Linked DNA regions of Macaca fascicularis. The main gene of each other region encodes a partner of the protein of the gene in region 3 in a complex. Links are inferred from orthologs where the notes say so. Each region holds a gene or a part of one and is shown on either strand. Other genes may lie near its edges.

Region 1 (4,196 bases), on a different chromosome or scaffold from region 3:
CCTGGCCACAATGGTGAAACCCTGTCTGTACTAAAAATACAAAAATTAGTTGGGCATGGTAGTGCATGCCTGTAATCCCAGCCACTTGGGAGGCTGGGGGAGGAGAATCGCTTGAACCCAGGAGGCAGAGGTTGCAGTGAGCCAAGGAGTTGCATGCACTCCAGCCTAGGCGACAGAGCAAGACTCTGTCTCAAAAAAAGAAAGGATTAAATAATCAGTAAACTAATTACAGGAGAATCATTTGAACCCAGGAGTTTGCTAATTAAATAATCAGTAAACTAATTACAAAGGTATTTGAGAGAAGGAAAAAAACTGGCAAAAGTATTATAAGAAGTCTGTGATTGAATGCAGTTATTTGAAAACGTCAGAAATCAGTCCAAGAAGCATTACTGTACTTAATTCTCTTTTTTTTTTTTTAATGAGATGGAGTCTCGCTCTGTCGCCCAGGCTGGAGTGCAGTGGCGCCATCTTGGCTCACTGCAAGCTCCGCCTCCCGGGTTCAGGCCATTCTTCTGCCTCAGCCTTCTGAGTAGCTGGGACTACAGGCACCCGCCACCATGCCCAGTTAATTTTTTGTATTTTTAGTAGAGGATGGTCTCGATTTCCTGACCTCGTGATCCACTCGCCTCAGCCTCCCAAGGTGCTGGGATTACAGGTGTGAGCCACTGTACTTAGTTCTTAACGTGGTTAACATCTACACCTAGGTAACAATATTTGGAAAAAGCATAGGAAAACACGTTCATAGAAACATATGTCTTCTACTTAAAACTTAGCCAAGGCAGGGCGTGGTGGTTCACCCCGTATCCCAACACTTTGGGAGGATGAGGTGGGCGGATCACTTGAGGCCAGGAGTTCAAGAAAAGCCTGGCCAACGTGGTGACACCCCATCTCTACTGAAAATACAAAAATTAGCCAGGCATGGTGGCAGGCACCTGTAATCCTAGCTGCTCGCGAGGCTGAGGCAGGAGAATCACTTGAGCTCGGAAGGTGGAGGTTGCAGTGAGCAGAAATGGCACCACTGCACTCCAGGCTGGGTGACAGAGTAAGACTCCGTCTCAAACAAAAACAACAAACTTAACTATTTTTTCACGTTACTTTAATGTAAATAATATCTTTTTTTTTTTTTCCCTCTGAGACAGGATCTCAGTCTGTCGCCAGGCTGGAGCGCAATGGTATTATCATGGCTCACTGTAGCAGCCTTGAACTTCCAGGCTCAAGTGATCCTTCCACCTCAGCCTCCTGAGTGGCTTGGGCTACAGGTGCATGCCATCATGCTTGGCTAATTTTTTAGTTTTTCTTTTGTAGAGAAAGGGTCTCACTATGCTGCACAGGCTGGTCTCAAGTGATCCTCACACCTCAGCCTCCTAAAGTGCTGGGATTACAGGTGTGAGCCACCACACCCAGCTAAATACTGCCTTTTAATAATACAATCCTTTCATAAATAAACGATTAGGTATAATGGGAAAAAAACCTCCAAGTTGTACATATTGAAATACTTGAATCCAATAATTTAGAAATAACTTACATTTCACTTAGCTAATTAGACCCTAACTAGAATCTTGGGTGTACTTCAAGGTTATACATTTAAAATAGTATCATACTCACTGTGTGCAGTAGAACAGCATCTGACTCCCTAGGCAAGCATGGGCACTCCTTTCTCTAATTCTCTTGTCCTTATATATACCTCCACTACAGGTCCTTTACATATTATTACACATTTATACATACTATTGTAAACTTTCTGTTTTATATATCTAGCTCCTCATTGTATTGTATTTTTCTGTATTCAGAAACCCTATCTTTTTTTGGAGACGATGCTTGTCTTAAATAAAGAAAAGAAAAATTAAAATACAGCAAAATACATATTTTTTTAAAACCCAGATATTTTTATCTCTATGATTTCAGAATCTAGAATGGCACCTAGCACTTGGAAAGTATTCGTATCAGGGAAAGTTCTTGCCTACATTAATCAGAACTGTGTTAATAAAAACATCGGACAGATTATAGAAAAAAGGAGAAGGCTGAGAAAAGAGTAGTATACACTTGGATATGGTTTGTCCCTTCAGTCATACCACAAACGTTTGGTAAATAACTAGACTTTAATACGCCACTCTCCAGTGGTTCTAAAGAGCTTAGGTAATTAGGCTTATACATACTAAAAAATTCTAGATCACCTGCTGTAGAGTGACTCTTGGCAGGAGAGGGTCCCTTTGAGAATTTACGCATGGATCCTATCTCAAAGAATTGTGGCCACAAATTTTTGCATTAAGTGAGTCGTGGAGTCCCAGAAAGTCTTCCTATGGATCTTAGAATAAGAACCTCGGAGAAGACTTATCTATCTAGCTGTTTTCAACAGACTGGTACCTATGCAGGCAATGGTTAAAACTGGAATTTAAAAATCACTTTTACGTAGCTGAAGCTCTCAATCCAAAATAAAGGTTCACAGGAATCCTCGTTCATACCCGGGGTCAAGACATACTTACTTCAAAGGCAGAATAATCCGGGGCTGTTAGGTAGCTCAGGTAGTTCTTAGTAGGTCGGTATCTGCGAGTTTCCTCCTCCACCAGCGCTGCAGCCTTAGAAAGAGAATTGGGGCCAGGGTAGAAGCGGCAAATTGTAACATGTTTCTTTCGGTACCGAGCCAGCGAACAGTGAGTCAGCTACAAAGACACCCCGCACTCACCGCTTCCCGCACACCAGGGGCTTCATAACCTTGATCAAAATACGGCAGCGCATCCACCACAACCTCTCCGGCCACCAAACCCGTGCCCGCCATTCCGAGGACCTCAGGTTTGCCTGCGTTTTCTGCGTTTGCGTAAACTGAGTTCTATTTAGATACGCCGGCGCCTGACACTGATGTAATCACGTTCCCGGCATATTGACGTTCGCGCATGCTCAGTTGCTAATTTTGAAGGCGGGTCCGCCCGGTATCTAGAAATTGCCGGGCTGCTTTGTTTTGGGCGGACGTGACGTCAGTCTTGGCTTCATTGCGTCAGCGGAAGGCCTCAATTTCCTGTCTTCTGCTTACTGTATTTTTTTTGCCAGCGAATGGTGGCTATTTGAAGTTAGGGCTTTTCGTTTCCTCCAAAACATTGATATCTGGAACGGGAGCCCCTTAACACTTTCGGAGGGAACTGGCTGCAGGATTTGACGGGGAGAGATAACTGATTTCCCACCTCTGCTTACTGCCACCGTCTCCCCTTAATCTTCTCTTCCTCTGTGCCGGACTTCTTTCCTTTTTTATTATGGACACACGCTCTTGTTCTGCTGCCCAGGTTGGAGTGCAGTGGCGCGATCATAGTTCACTGCAGCCTCAACCCCCCCAGGCCCAAGCGATCCTTCCACCTCAGCCTCCTGAGCCGCTGGGCCTAGAGGTGCACACCACCACGCCTGGCTAATTTTTAATTTTTTTTTTTTTTTTTCGAGACGGAGTCTCACTCTGTCGCCCAGGCTGGAGTGCAGTGGCGCGATCTCGGCTCACTGCAAGCTCCGCCTCCTGCGTTCACGCCATTCTCCTGCCTCAGCCTCCTAGTAGCTGGGACTACAAGGCGTCCGCCTCCATGCCCGGCTAATTTTTTGTATTTTTTGTATTTTCACCGTGTTAGCCAGGATGATCTCGATCTCCTGACCTCGTGATCCGCCCGCCTCGGCCTCCCAAAGTGCTGGGATTATAGGCTTGAGCCACAGCGCCCGGCCATTTTAAAATTTTTTTGTAGAGTTGGAGCCTTCCTATGTTGCCAAGGCTGGCCTCAAGCTATCCTCTCGCCTAGGCCTCCTAAAATGTGGGGAATACAGGCGTAAGCCACTGCACCCGGGGTCGTTCCTCTTTTACTTCCTTGCTGTACCCCGACTATCCTCCCCCCTCGCCACCCTGAAAACCTTTGCATTGGATAAGTACAATTCTTAAAGAGGCTCTAGAATTGGGCGCCAGTCTCCAATTAAAATTGTGAAGCTTTATGGTCTGAGTATCAAAAGGAACCTCAGTTCCTTAAAAATCCTGCCATTTTGGCTTTAGGACTTAAACGGTAATAGAATGGCACTCCTGTCTCCAAACCATTCAAGCTGCTGCCCATGCACTTTGTCTTCTTCATGGCTCCTGGACTAAGCAGCCTCCCTTTGATTAAGCAGTTAAAGACCAAATAAAGTTGTCAGACTATATACCCTGCCCAGTGTGCGGTCTAGACCCAGGCTTTGTC
Region 2 (4,234 bases), on a different chromosome or scaffold from region 3:
ATGTACAACATACTGACTATAGCTAATAATTCTGTATTGTTTACTTGAAGCTTGCTAAGACAAATTTAAGTGCCCCCCACCAAACTAGTACATAAATAAGTCTAGTGAAGGATGTTTTAATTAATTTGATTTTGGTAATCATTACACAATGTATAATTATATCCAATCATCACATTGTACACCTTGAATATATATAATTTTTGTCAAATAACCTTAATAAAGCTGGGAAGAAAACGATAAAAAAGTGACAATCTAACATATGATAAGGTAAAAAGATATTTCAAGAAATTTGGATGACCTCTTGCACCCCACTTTGCTAGCCTCTACTCCCAAGAGTCATGTTCTGGCTATGTGAAGTTGAGCAACTTCTTAAATCTTGCCAAGCTTCAGTTCTTATCTGTAAAATGTGATATTGAAACGATTTGAGAATTGTGAGGGTTAAATGAGATAATTCAGGTAAAGCTCTAAAACCCCTGCCAAGAATAAAGTCTTTTCTTCCCCCCCAAAACTTGAGTATTAGAATTCATTCTCTCTGGTTTCTCTCTTTTGCTATGCTAAAAATAGATCCAGGTCCTTTTCATTGTCAAGATGTTAGTTTCCTTCAAAAGATAACTGCGAGCTACTTGTAATATAACACCAGAAGAGTTATACAGGTCTTAGAAACTACGTTTTTCATAGTAATTATGTTGGTTTGCACTTCCTGGCTTCCCTTCTCAGACGGTAGGTACCTGGAAGCCTAGTGGAGCAGATTCTCCCCACTTGAAGATACTTATAAAAATAACGAACATAGTTCCGATGACCATATGCCCACCATATGCCCAACACTGCTCTGCGCACTTCACACAGTAGTGTTATCTCAGCCTGTGACCATTCCGAGTTAGGTGCCGGGATTCTCCCCGCTTTGTGATAACTTGCCCGAGGTAGTACAGCTAGCCAGCTATGGAACCAGCGCCTGTAGTCCCAGCTACTCGGGAGGCTGAGGCAGGAGAGTGGCGAGAACCCGGGAGGCGGAGCTTGCAGTGAGCTGAGATCCGGCCACTGCACTTCAGCCTGGGCGGCAGAGCGAGACTCCGTCTCAAAAAAAAAACAAAAAACAAAAAACAAACTCGGCTACGCTGCAGCCTGTGGCCCTCCACTTTCTTGCCCGTGCTCTGCAGTTTAGGTAACCTCTGGGGGCGGGGTCTTTTGGGTCAGGTTGTGGCCTCACAGAACAGCGCTTGCTGCGGTTGGATGGATGGGTGGGTGGGTGGATGAAGAGAAGAAACCTGGTGGCGTCGTCCCAGGGCTGTGGAGCGCCCCGAAGGTGAGCGCATCCCCCGCGAGGGCACCTGCCAGCCGCGCAGTTCTCAGCACTCTCCGCCACTTCCGGCCCTGGCCCCGCCCCCTCGGGTGGCTGGCGTCCGTTACGCGTTGAGGAATTTTGTCCCCAGCGCCGACCCGTCTCTGCCCTCGCCGCTGCCATGGCGGCAGCTCCGCCGCTTTCCAAGGCCGAGTATCTGAAGCGTTACTTGTCCGGGGCAGATGCCGGCGTCGACCGGGGGTCTGAGTCCGGTCGCAAGCGTCGCAAAAAGCGGCCGAAGCCTGGCGGGGCCGGCGGCAAGGGGTGAGTTGGTACCGGCCGGGGCGGGGCCTGCAACGACTCGCCACCCCTCACCCTTCCCAACTCCGCCCTCGGTCGCCTGGCGACTCCTTCCCTCTTGGCGGGTCTCCCGGCTTCTCCGCCGACCCCTGCTCATGCCCAGGGCCCCACTCACATCGCTTGAGGCCCCGCATTGCCTCTGCCGCCCCGCTTACACCTCGAGCCTCTGAGCAGTAGCGTCAGTGCGTTAGAGCCGGGCTGTAACTTTGATTACTCTTTTCCCGCCTTGGTAGACTTCCGTCCTCTCCCATGGAGAATGAATATTGCGCCCCGAGAATAATGGAGCGGATTCAAAGCCTCTGTGCTTGAATCTTTAGGGCCCGGTACCTGCCTGTGGGGATTCCCAAATCCCAAGGACTTGGTTCTGAATCAGAGACCTTGGATCACCTCCTGTTACTCTTAGTAATAGTCCTACTAACAAGAGAAGTTAACATTTACATAATTATACTTTTCTTGCCAGGCAACATTATAAGAAATTTAAACATAAGTTTGTTTAAGCCTTACAACAGTACCATGAACTGGGTATTATTTTCAAATGGGAAAACTTTGTGGCCCAATATAGTGGGCCCTACCAAATCGTTTTCCACCCAGAACCACAGAATGTGACATTTAGAAATAGGGTCTTTGGAGATGTAATCAGTTAAGATGAAGTCATACTTGATTAAGGTGGGTGCCAAATACAAAATGACTGTTTTCCTTTTAAAAAGAGGGAAGTATGGATACAGACACAGCAACAAAGGAAAAACGACCATGTCTAGATGAAGGCTGAGATTGGATTGGATTTATGTTGCCAAAAGCCAAGGTATGCCTGGGGCTACCAGAAGCTGGGAGAGGCAAGGAAAGATCCTTCCCTACCGACTTTGCAGGGAGGATGGCCTTGCAGACACCTGGATTTCAGATTGCTAGCTTCCAGAACTGTGAGAGTTTCTGTTGTTTTATGCCACGCAATTTTGTGGTACTTTGTTACAGTAACCCTAAGGCACTAAGATACCCAGTGAAGTCACATTGTTCTAAAGAACTAGTCCATGTTGTTTTCTGGTTTGGTGCTTGCCTTATTATTGTCCTCGTCTTTCTGCTTCGCTGACTTGTGTGGATCCTTTGGAGGCAGTGCCATGTGATGAAAGTAGCTTGAGTGTTGGAGCAGCACTGGTCAGAGTTCGAATCCTAGCTGTGCCACTTTATAGGCTGTGTACCCTTGGGCAAAGTGTTTCATCTCACTGAACTGCAGTTTCCTTATCTTTAAAATGGGAATAATACTGAATAATAATGCTTTTATGAAGTGGTGGTTGTGATTAGAGGGATTGCATTAAGTGACCCTGGCTTTTTGAATAACTTCACATCATGGCAGTCATGGTTATTATTGGGGCTCAACTATAGTTTATCCATGTAACAAGCATTTATTGAATACACTGTATTCCAGTTACTGAGGATGCCTCTGTGAACAAAAAGAAACATAGTCCCTGTTCTTGTGGAGCTTATAGTTTAGTGGGAATACAGGCTTTAAGCAACTAATTACACAACTAATTGGTGTATTTTCTTTATGATAAATGCAATGAAAGTATTCCAAGAGTTTTTAACAAGAGTTCTTAGTCTTTTTTTTTTTTTTTTTTTTTTGAGACAGAGTCTCACTCTGTCCCCCAGGCTGGAGTGCAGTGGCATGATCTCAGCTCACTGCAAGCTCCAACTACAGGGTTCACGCCATTCTCCTGCCTCAGCCTCCCAAGTAGCTGGGACTACAGGCACCCGCCACCACACCTGGCTAATTTTTTGTATTTTTAGTAGAGACAGGGTTTCACCATGTTAGCCAGGTTGGTCTCGATCTCCTGACCTCATGATCCACCTGCCTCAGCCTCCAAGTGTTGGGATTACAGGCGTGAGCCACTGGGCCCGGCCGGGTCCGTGGTCTTGAGTGAGTGTGAGATAGTGGGGGAATCCGGGAAGCAGTCAAGAAAAGTTTGCCAGACTGGGTGCGATGGCTCTCGCCTGTAATCCCAGCACTTTGGGAGGCCGAGGCGGGCGGATCATGAGGTCAGGAGATCAAGACCATCCTGGCTAACACAGTGAAACCCCATCTGTACTAAAAAAATACAAAAAATTAGCCGGGCATAGTGGCAGGCGCCTGTAGTCCCAGCTACTCGGGAGGCTGAGGCAGGAGAATGGCACGATCCCGGGAGGCGGAGCTTGCAGTGAGCTGAGATTGTGCCACTGCACTCCAACCTGGGCGACAGAGCAAGACTCCGTCTCAAAAAAAAAAAAAAAAAAAGTTTGCCAAAGGAAGTTAAATTTGTGTTAGGACCTGAAAAATGAGGAAGAGTTTCCTGGAATGAGGAAGAGTTTCCTAGCACTTTGGGAGGCCAAGGCGGGTGGATTGCTTGCATATAGGAGTTTGGGACCAGTCTGGGCAACATGGTTAAACCCTGTTTCTACAAAAAATTAAAAAAAAAAAAAGTCAGGCACAGTGGCACATGCCTGTAGTCTCAGCTACTTGGGAGACTGAGTGGAGAGAATAACTTAACCCCAGGAAGTCAAAGCTGCAGGGAGCCATGATGGTGCCCCTGCACTCCAGCCTGGGCAACAGTGTGAGACCCTGTCTCA
Region 3 (3,213 bases):
ACTATGGAGATGTGTATTTGGTCATTGTTGATGGCTCCCTTGAGATATGTGGTTACAGACCAAGAATGAGTCCGGTCTCTGGAGCTGCCTTTCTTTGGTAACACTTTATAGCTTGACTACACTTAAGCTATATGCAATGGGCAGTGGAAGAGATTTGGGCTTAACCCTGGTGGTGGGTCTGTCAGGTAAGTAAAAGGGCACATGCATGAAATTCTGCACCTTTCATAGGGTCCATGAACACATTATGGTAGATGAACTTAATGCAACAGAAGTTTCAAGAAACACTGTAATATAGGCCAGCATGGAGCAGGGAAACAGATTTTTTTAAATGCTTTTCAGAATTTGATATGTGTACCTAACTTGAACACAATAGTTGAAGCTCTGCTAAAAAGATTGGTAGGGGCTTTCTCATCTCCTTGTACTAGTCATTTCTTCTTGGCCTTTAACAGCATCTACCTCTGATTTTTGTTGTTAGAAGGCATATCAGAATCTCTCAGGAATGCAAGTGCAGCGTTCTTTTTTCTTTATTTAAGTTTATGAAATACATGCTTATAGAAAATTAAAACATAGAAATATGTAAAGCCAGTCGTGAAAGTTCTTCCATAATTCTGCTTCCTAACAAAGCCACTGTTAGTAATGTGGTGTTATATTTTGGAGCATTAAGTTGTTCACAAAAAATGCTTGCACAACTTTTTTTAACTAAGAGTAAAGTTTGGAAATTTTGCCCTAATAATCCAGACATTCCTCACTCACTTAATGAATACTTAGAAACAAATTGCATAAAGGAACCATCTATTAAACCATCCCTTATTGACAGGACATTTGAGTTTTAAGTATTAAAGAACAAAGGTGCAATGAATTTGCTTGTGTACACTTGTCAGATTATTCCCATTAGGCAGTTCCCTAGAAATGAACTTAGTAGGCCAAAAGGTTCAAACAGTTTCAATAAACCCCAGAAAACTACATTCCTAAAGGTTGTGCCAATTATACTCCCACCTATAGCATGCAAGATGGGTAATATAATTGGAAATGCTTATTCAAAATCATAGTGCAATTTTTTAATTTGGAAAATTATAAAAACTGACTGTTCTTATAACTGTGTTTTCTCATTATAGAAGGTGAAGTCTGACAAATCTTCTTGACTAAAGGGGAATCAGGATCCCAGGGCAAGATTTATAAAACTTGTATTTATCAAAAAGAGGCATTAGAAACTTTAAAACTTCTCTTTAAAATCTCTACAAGATTGCAGCCCTTGCTACAGTTTTAAACAGCTGCACTGGTATCTCCAGTTATTTTCCCCAAGTTTCAATGGCAGTATTGGTATCTTACTAGTTGTGGAATAAAATCCAAATTTATATGAGCTTTCCTCACAACAAGCCAGCTTTACTCTCCATTATTCAACAGTAGCAGAAAATTCTTTGTCCCAGGACACACTGCACACTTTCTTCTGCCTGGTTTCATCGCTTCATGCCTTATCTCTTTTCCTTCTTTGTCCTCCTTCACCTCAAAGTCATCTCCAATGCCACTTACTCTATGAAGTCTTCCACAATCCTTCCTGAGAAAAATAAATGATCTCATCCCCACTTCTGTTCCCCCAGCATTTCACCTGCACCTCCATTACAGAATTTCTATACTAAGCTACCAAACTGGAAGTCTTAGAGGATAGACACATCTTACTTGTCTATTTCCTGAACGGTATCTAGTGCAGAACTTTGTAGAACATACACTCAAAAACCGTTTTTGGAATAAACATATATAAGTTAAGACTTTAAATCTTTTAATCTCAAATTATTAGTCACAGATATTAATTTTTAAAGGATTAAAAAAAAAAACCTACTGCTCCCTCAAATGTCCTATTATAATAATCGGTTTCATACATTTTTTTTAAAAAGGGGGTTGTTCTAATAAGACTGTCAAAATATTACATCTAGAATAGTTACAGTCAATAAACCTGCATTTACTTGATATCTGCATCTTCCTAGTATCACAAATTGTTTTAGAAATAAAAACACAAGGGTAGGGGACAGGGGACAGTTTATTGTAAAATATGAAGCAGCAATGATTGAAGCAAGTGAATTTCTCCTTTATATTCCCAGCCAGAGCACAAAATGACTGGGTATCCTCATCAACGCCAAGCTTTTTTTTTTTTTTTTAAAAAAAAAAAAAAAGAAAATTCCACATTCATTAAAATCTCTTTCTCTTGATAATTTCTGGTTTCCAGCTGACTGGATGAGTTTCTTCTGTCTAAAAGTAGAAAAGCAAGTTAAAATAAAGTATTATTAGTTTGCTTCATGTCTAACAGGCTTCCTTTCTAACAGAAATAAGGTATCTCCTCTAACATTATTCATTGGCATTATATACTTAGTAGTTCTTTGACAATTTTAGGAAGAGTTGATAAACTTCTGGCATTATCTAAGTCTAATAACAGATGGATGGATTCATTATGTTTAGTTTGCAGTTTTTAATCTAAAATAACATTTCTATTTGGATCTACTAATACCAAAGCTTATGATTCTCAAATTAATTTGCATAGCAATCTATTTATTTGCTGTTATTCTTGGTGCAACATTTCCCAGCAACTATAACAAAGAAAGCTGGGATAAAATTAAAACCATCCATGAATTCACTGGCATCAGTGAAATAATATAGAAATCTATAAATAGACACTATTCAAGAAAACAAATATCTTAAATACTATAAAGATTATTTTTCCTTCTGATAAAATTAAATGAGAACACAGTGCCCAATTGGTATAGCTGCTTTACTTAACAAATGTGAAACAGAGAACTTACGGCTGTGTCATCCTCTCTGTATACTTTAATGGTTTTATCAGCTTCAGCTGTTAGTAATCGACTTTCAGACTGATCAAAAGCACAAGCAAATATTCCTGATTCACTGTCCAAAGAGCCAGGTTGCACAGCTGCATGAACTCTCTGAAAATTGTAGCCAGTTCTCCAGTCCCAAAGATGCATGGTGCCATTGTCAGCTTAAAGGGAAAAATCTAGTTACACCTGGTATCCCTTCAGCAGTACAGCTTGACAAACATTTATTAAGCATCATTAGCCCAAGCATGGCAATACTTCGGTTATAAAAATACATAAGACACAGGCACTCAATCTTCTCCTAATATTGGCTTTTCTACTTTCATTTGTGCTGGGTTCAGAATTTATAGATCTTAAAAAGCACCTAAAATCTAACATCCAATTCCAGAAT
Region 4 (3,927 bases), on a different chromosome or scaffold from region 3:
TGTTCTGCAGTGGCAAAGCCAGTTTGAGGAGACGCTCTCAGCTACTAGAACTTCCAAGTAAGCTGGTAGTTGAGGAGAGAAAATCTTTTAAGTAATTATTCTGCAGAGTTCACCGTTTTTAGGTCAGTAACTTCTGGACACAGAATTTGAGAGTTAGAATAAATCTTATATATAATTCAACAAAGCTCCTTCTTTTTATAAGGAAACTGAGGCCCAGAAGCACAAAACGACCACTCTATGGCCACGGAGCAGCTACATACAACAGGAAGAGCTAGGAGTAGAACCCGGACACCCGGTGGGTCCTAGCGACTTCTAGGACAGACGACGCCTCTGGTTACCTGGGTCGGCCAAGTGTTCCCACTTCAAATTTTAGTTTTAAGCCATACCACAGTTAAGGTAGTTTTTCTTGGCTGCTCGCCCCCTTAGGCCCACAGTTACAGTCTCCCCCTCCTCCCTCCCTTCCACAATACACTTTCCCTGTAATCCCATGCAGCTGGGGCTTGGCTCCTGGGGGAAGACAGTTACTTTCTTTCCTTCAGAGTGTATCTTTGGAGTGTAAACTTTTTCATGTAAACAAAACAAACCTGTGAATTTTAAGGCCTCCGCCTAAGTCCCCATAGGCACTGATCCCCACACCCCGCACCCTACCCTACCCTCCCTTGTGCTCCCTTCGGATCTCGGACGCAGAGGCCCTGTAATTGCTCCTTACCTGGGACTGCCATGACGATGGTAAGGGGTCACTTGAGCCTCCGGCTTTCGAAGTGGCGCTTGCTTCCCGCCAGCTGCGAGAACAAGGCACAGCCAAAGCGCCGTTTTCCTTCCCCCAGCGCAGCAGCACCTTCGCTACGGTGAGGAAGGCCCTTTACGTTTCTAGCGGCAGCAGAACCAGTAGACGCGGATGCAGTTTCCGGACGAGTCATAGTGCAGAAGACACATGGTCCGAACCATTACTGATAGTTTTTTTTGGGGGGGGTCAGTTTGATCTGCACACGCGAGTAGTGTAAACACAGCCAAGACTTATGAAGTGTCCCTTCTAATATTGTAATACAAATTACATTAAGCTATAATAACTTTACAGACTTCTCTCGTTCCCTGGAGTACACTGGAATAACCCTTCTCAGGGTTAGCGGTGCTCGGGTCCGGTAACAACATGGCGGCGTCCGTGAGGGGCTCCTTTAGGCAAGGGTAGTGTTTGGTGTCCCCGTCTTGCGTGATATTGACAAACTGAAGTTTTCCTGCACCACTCGACTTAAGAAAGAGTGTACTCCTAGGCGGACAGCTTTAGTGACCGGCCGTCCGCTCTAATCCCTCATAAGGAGCAGAGTCCTTTGTACTGACCAGGATGAGCAACATCTACATCCAGGAGCCTCCCACGAATGGGAAGGTGAGAGCCTCATCTAGGGAACTTGGGGTCCTGGGATCTCCAAAGTGAGATTTCCCAAATTTGGGGTGGGGGACGGGTTTCGGGATCTCGGGGTAGGAAGAGACCACGATAAGTGTTGTCTTTATTCCTGCATGTGGACAATGTTGCGTCGAAACACTGAAGTTTATACTTTTCAGGACGTACTTGAAAAAGTCAGGTGGAGATTTCTCTACCTACCAGCATTCCGGTCCTGTTTTCTGCTTTAAGCCAGCTCATGCAACCGATTTCTAGAGTCTTAGGTTTTTAAACGTACATTTCTGAGTTTGATATATTCTTTGCTTAACTTTGAGGTCATTCATTCTGCATTTCTTCTGCAATCATTAATTGAACGCCTGCTAGGCACTGGGCACTGTACTAGGCGCCGGAGATACAAAGATGGATGGGTAAGGTAGTTGTTTTCCCGGAAGAGCTTATAGTTTAGTTTGTGAGACAGGTAAACAAAAGCCTGTATGTCTGATAAGCGTGCTTGTGGAGAAGAGACCAGGTTGCTATGGCGGTACTGAGTAGTGAACAACTGGGAAAGTTAGGAAAAACCTCATGGAAAAGGTATCTTTTGAGCTGATTTTAAAACCTGAGATGACTGTCAGTCAGAGAAAGTGGGAAATGGGGACTGTTACCACATTAGAGTGGGGAAAGGTTTCTCTAATTGATTTGATGGCTAATGTATGCCAATTCCCATCCAAGGTGTTTGTGTTGAAGAGTCCGTTGTGGAATAACTGTCACCTGAATTCTTAAATTGAGACCTAGCCTATCTCATATGAAATTTGATGAATCAGCATATTGGAGAAAATGAGATTTAAAGTATATAGTTGAATTAAGATAAGCTAAATTTACACAACATACCATCCTGTTCGTTACATGATTACATCATAAATAATTTATGCAGTCTTTTATTCATTGACATTTGATAATATAATGAGAGCAATTTAAAAGCAAAACCAAAAATGCTGTAATTCCCAGCAAAAATTTAATGGGTATTTTGGGCAGCTCAATTCTTTCAATTCTTTGAACTTCTCCTGGGCATTGTAGGTTACTGGGTCCATCCCACCCCTCACCTATCTTATTTAATATCAATGTGAAAACCCAAAATACCTACCTCCTCCTATTTCCAAATGTTTCTTGAGGGCAGTATCACCCCCAGTTAATAAATACTGGTAGAGATTGAATAGATTTACCATACTGCCAGACAGGGCGTTCACACTTGCTGTTCCTCTGTTTAATCAAGTGTTGACCTTAGCAAAGAGTCCTTTCTTACCTACTTTCTATGAAATAGCAAACTTCAATCATGCCTTGCATCCCAGCATTCTCTGGCCCCCTTAACTTTTTTAGTTTTTTTCCATGGTATTTATTAATTATTTGGTATTACTGTATCCTTCCTCCTACCTTCCCCCTATAGAATGCAAGGAACATCAGGGCAGAGACAAGCATCTAGAACAGTACTTGATACATGATAGAAGGAGTTCAGTTATGTATTGAATAAACGAATGGATGGATGAATTAATACTATATTTTTCTTAGTTTTTTGAGGAATATTAAGCATCAGTGAGTTTGAGGTTACACTGCTGCTGGTCAAGGACAGACTTAATTGCTTTGTTGTAAAGGAAGATTTGACATGGTCACATAGATGAAAAGCTTTAACAAGGATATATTCCTGAATAGATTATTCATTCAACAAATAATGATTGAGCAAATCAATTGCCAGGCTCTATGCTAGGTTTTAGGGATACAACGGAAACAAAAAAAACCACATTGTCTGAGTTATCATGAGTTAATTGAGTGAAGTATACATTGACTGAATAATCATGCAAATAAATGTTTAACTACAAAATGTGATAAATACTGTCTTCTGAACAGAAATGGGCTGAATGATAACACAAGGGCCCAAGTTTTCATCCAAAAACAACTTGGGACTTTTTCCACCATAAGGCTCATCAAAGATATTAAAGCTTCTAAGTTCTGTAAGGTTGAGAGTGTGGACAAAAATTTGGTGTGTAAAGAATTTGAAGCAAATGTAATAAGTCTGTTCAATGAATGTTTATTGCCTTTACTATCTAATGGTACATTAGGTACTGAAAGGGTACAGAGACATTCAGAGTAAATGGGACAAAATTCCTCCCTTCAAAGTGCTTAGTATCAGCTTGGGAAGTAATTGATAATGATACCAGTGCTTGGTCCCTGGTTGTCCATAAATGTTCTGTGTTTTGCTGTAACCCTAGCCCCTGAAGATGAGGCAAAGAAATATAGTACTTGATAGAAATTTTTTAAGCATAAGAGGTAATTCCCTGAAGATGAAATTTCCACATATTATGATCACTTATTCTAAATTGTGTCTGGCATCTTCACTTAGCATAATGTTGCTTTCAAATGATAGGGGTCTGTCTTATTGTTGTACACACTTAGTTTTTAAATGTATTGAAAATCAAAATGGCTTTATAAGTATATTTGCATATATATTTATAAGAAACATGATATTATCAAAGTATTAATTGGGAATTTTAAGAGAA

What was found. Proteins that work in one complex are often made in the same cells at the same time.
Region 1: PLRG1 (region 3) and BCAS2 share a complex: the UniProt entries of both Homo sapiens proteins name them as parts of the PRP19-CDC5L splicing complex. The link is inferred for Macaca fascicularis from reciprocal best matches to the Homo sapiens genes PLRG1 and BCAS2.
Region 2: PLRG1 (region 3) and BUD13 share a complex: the UniProt entries of both Homo sapiens proteins name them as parts of the minor spliceosome. The link is inferred for Macaca fascicularis from reciprocal best matches to the Homo sapiens genes PLRG1 and BUD13.
Region 4: PLRG1 (region 3) and CWC27 share a complex: the UniProt entries of both Homo sapiens proteins name them as parts of the minor spliceosome. The link is inferred for Macaca fascicularis from reciprocal best matches to the Homo sapiens genes PLRG1 and CWC27.

What each region holds. Positions count from the first base shown.
Region 1 is NC_088375.1:119,787,988-119,792,183, reverse strand, and holds the start of BCAS2 (pre-mRNA-splicing factor SPF27), read right to left. Parts: upstream 2,801-4,196; 5' UTR 2,777-2,800; coding exon 2,684-2,776; intron 2,577-2,683; coding exon 2,484-2,576; intron 1-2,483. UniProt on the Homo sapiens protein: Required for pre-mRNA splicing as component of the activated spliceosome. Component of the PRP19-CDC5L complex that forms an integral part of the spliceosome and is required for activating pre-mRNA splicing.
Region 2 is NC_088388.1:115,624,520-115,628,753, reverse strand, and holds the start of BUD13 (BUD13 homolog), read left to right. Parts: upstream 1-1,434; 5' UTR 1,435-1,460; coding exon 1,461-1,603; intron 1,604-2,346; exon of another isoform or gene 2,347-2,397; coding exon of another isoform or gene 2,398-2,441; intron 2,442-4,234. UniProt on the Homo sapiens protein: Involved in pre-mRNA splicing as component of the activated spliceosome. As a component of the minor spliceosome, involved in the splicing of U12-type introns in pre-mRNAs.
Region 3 is NC_088379.1:159,452,126-159,455,338, forward strand, and holds the end of PLRG1 (pleiotropic regulator 1), read right to left. Parts: intron 2,987-3,213; coding exon 2,793-2,986; intron 2,245-2,792; coding exon 2,185-2,244; 3' UTR 501-2,184; downstream 1-500. UniProt on the Homo sapiens protein: Involved in pre-mRNA splicing as component of the spliceosome. Component of the PRP19-CDC5L complex that forms an integral part of the spliceosome and is required for activating pre-mRNA splicing.
Region 4 is NC_088380.1:70,438,524-70,442,450, forward strand, and holds the start of CWC27 (spliceosome-associated protein CWC27 homolog), read left to right. Parts: upstream 1-1,127; 5' UTR 1,128-1,342; coding exon 1,343-1,384; intron 1,385-3,927. UniProt on the Homo sapiens protein: As part of the spliceosome, plays a role in pre-mRNA splicing. Probable inactive PPIase with no peptidyl-prolyl cis-trans isomerase activity. As a component of the minor spliceosome, involved in the splicing of U12-type introns in pre-mRNAs.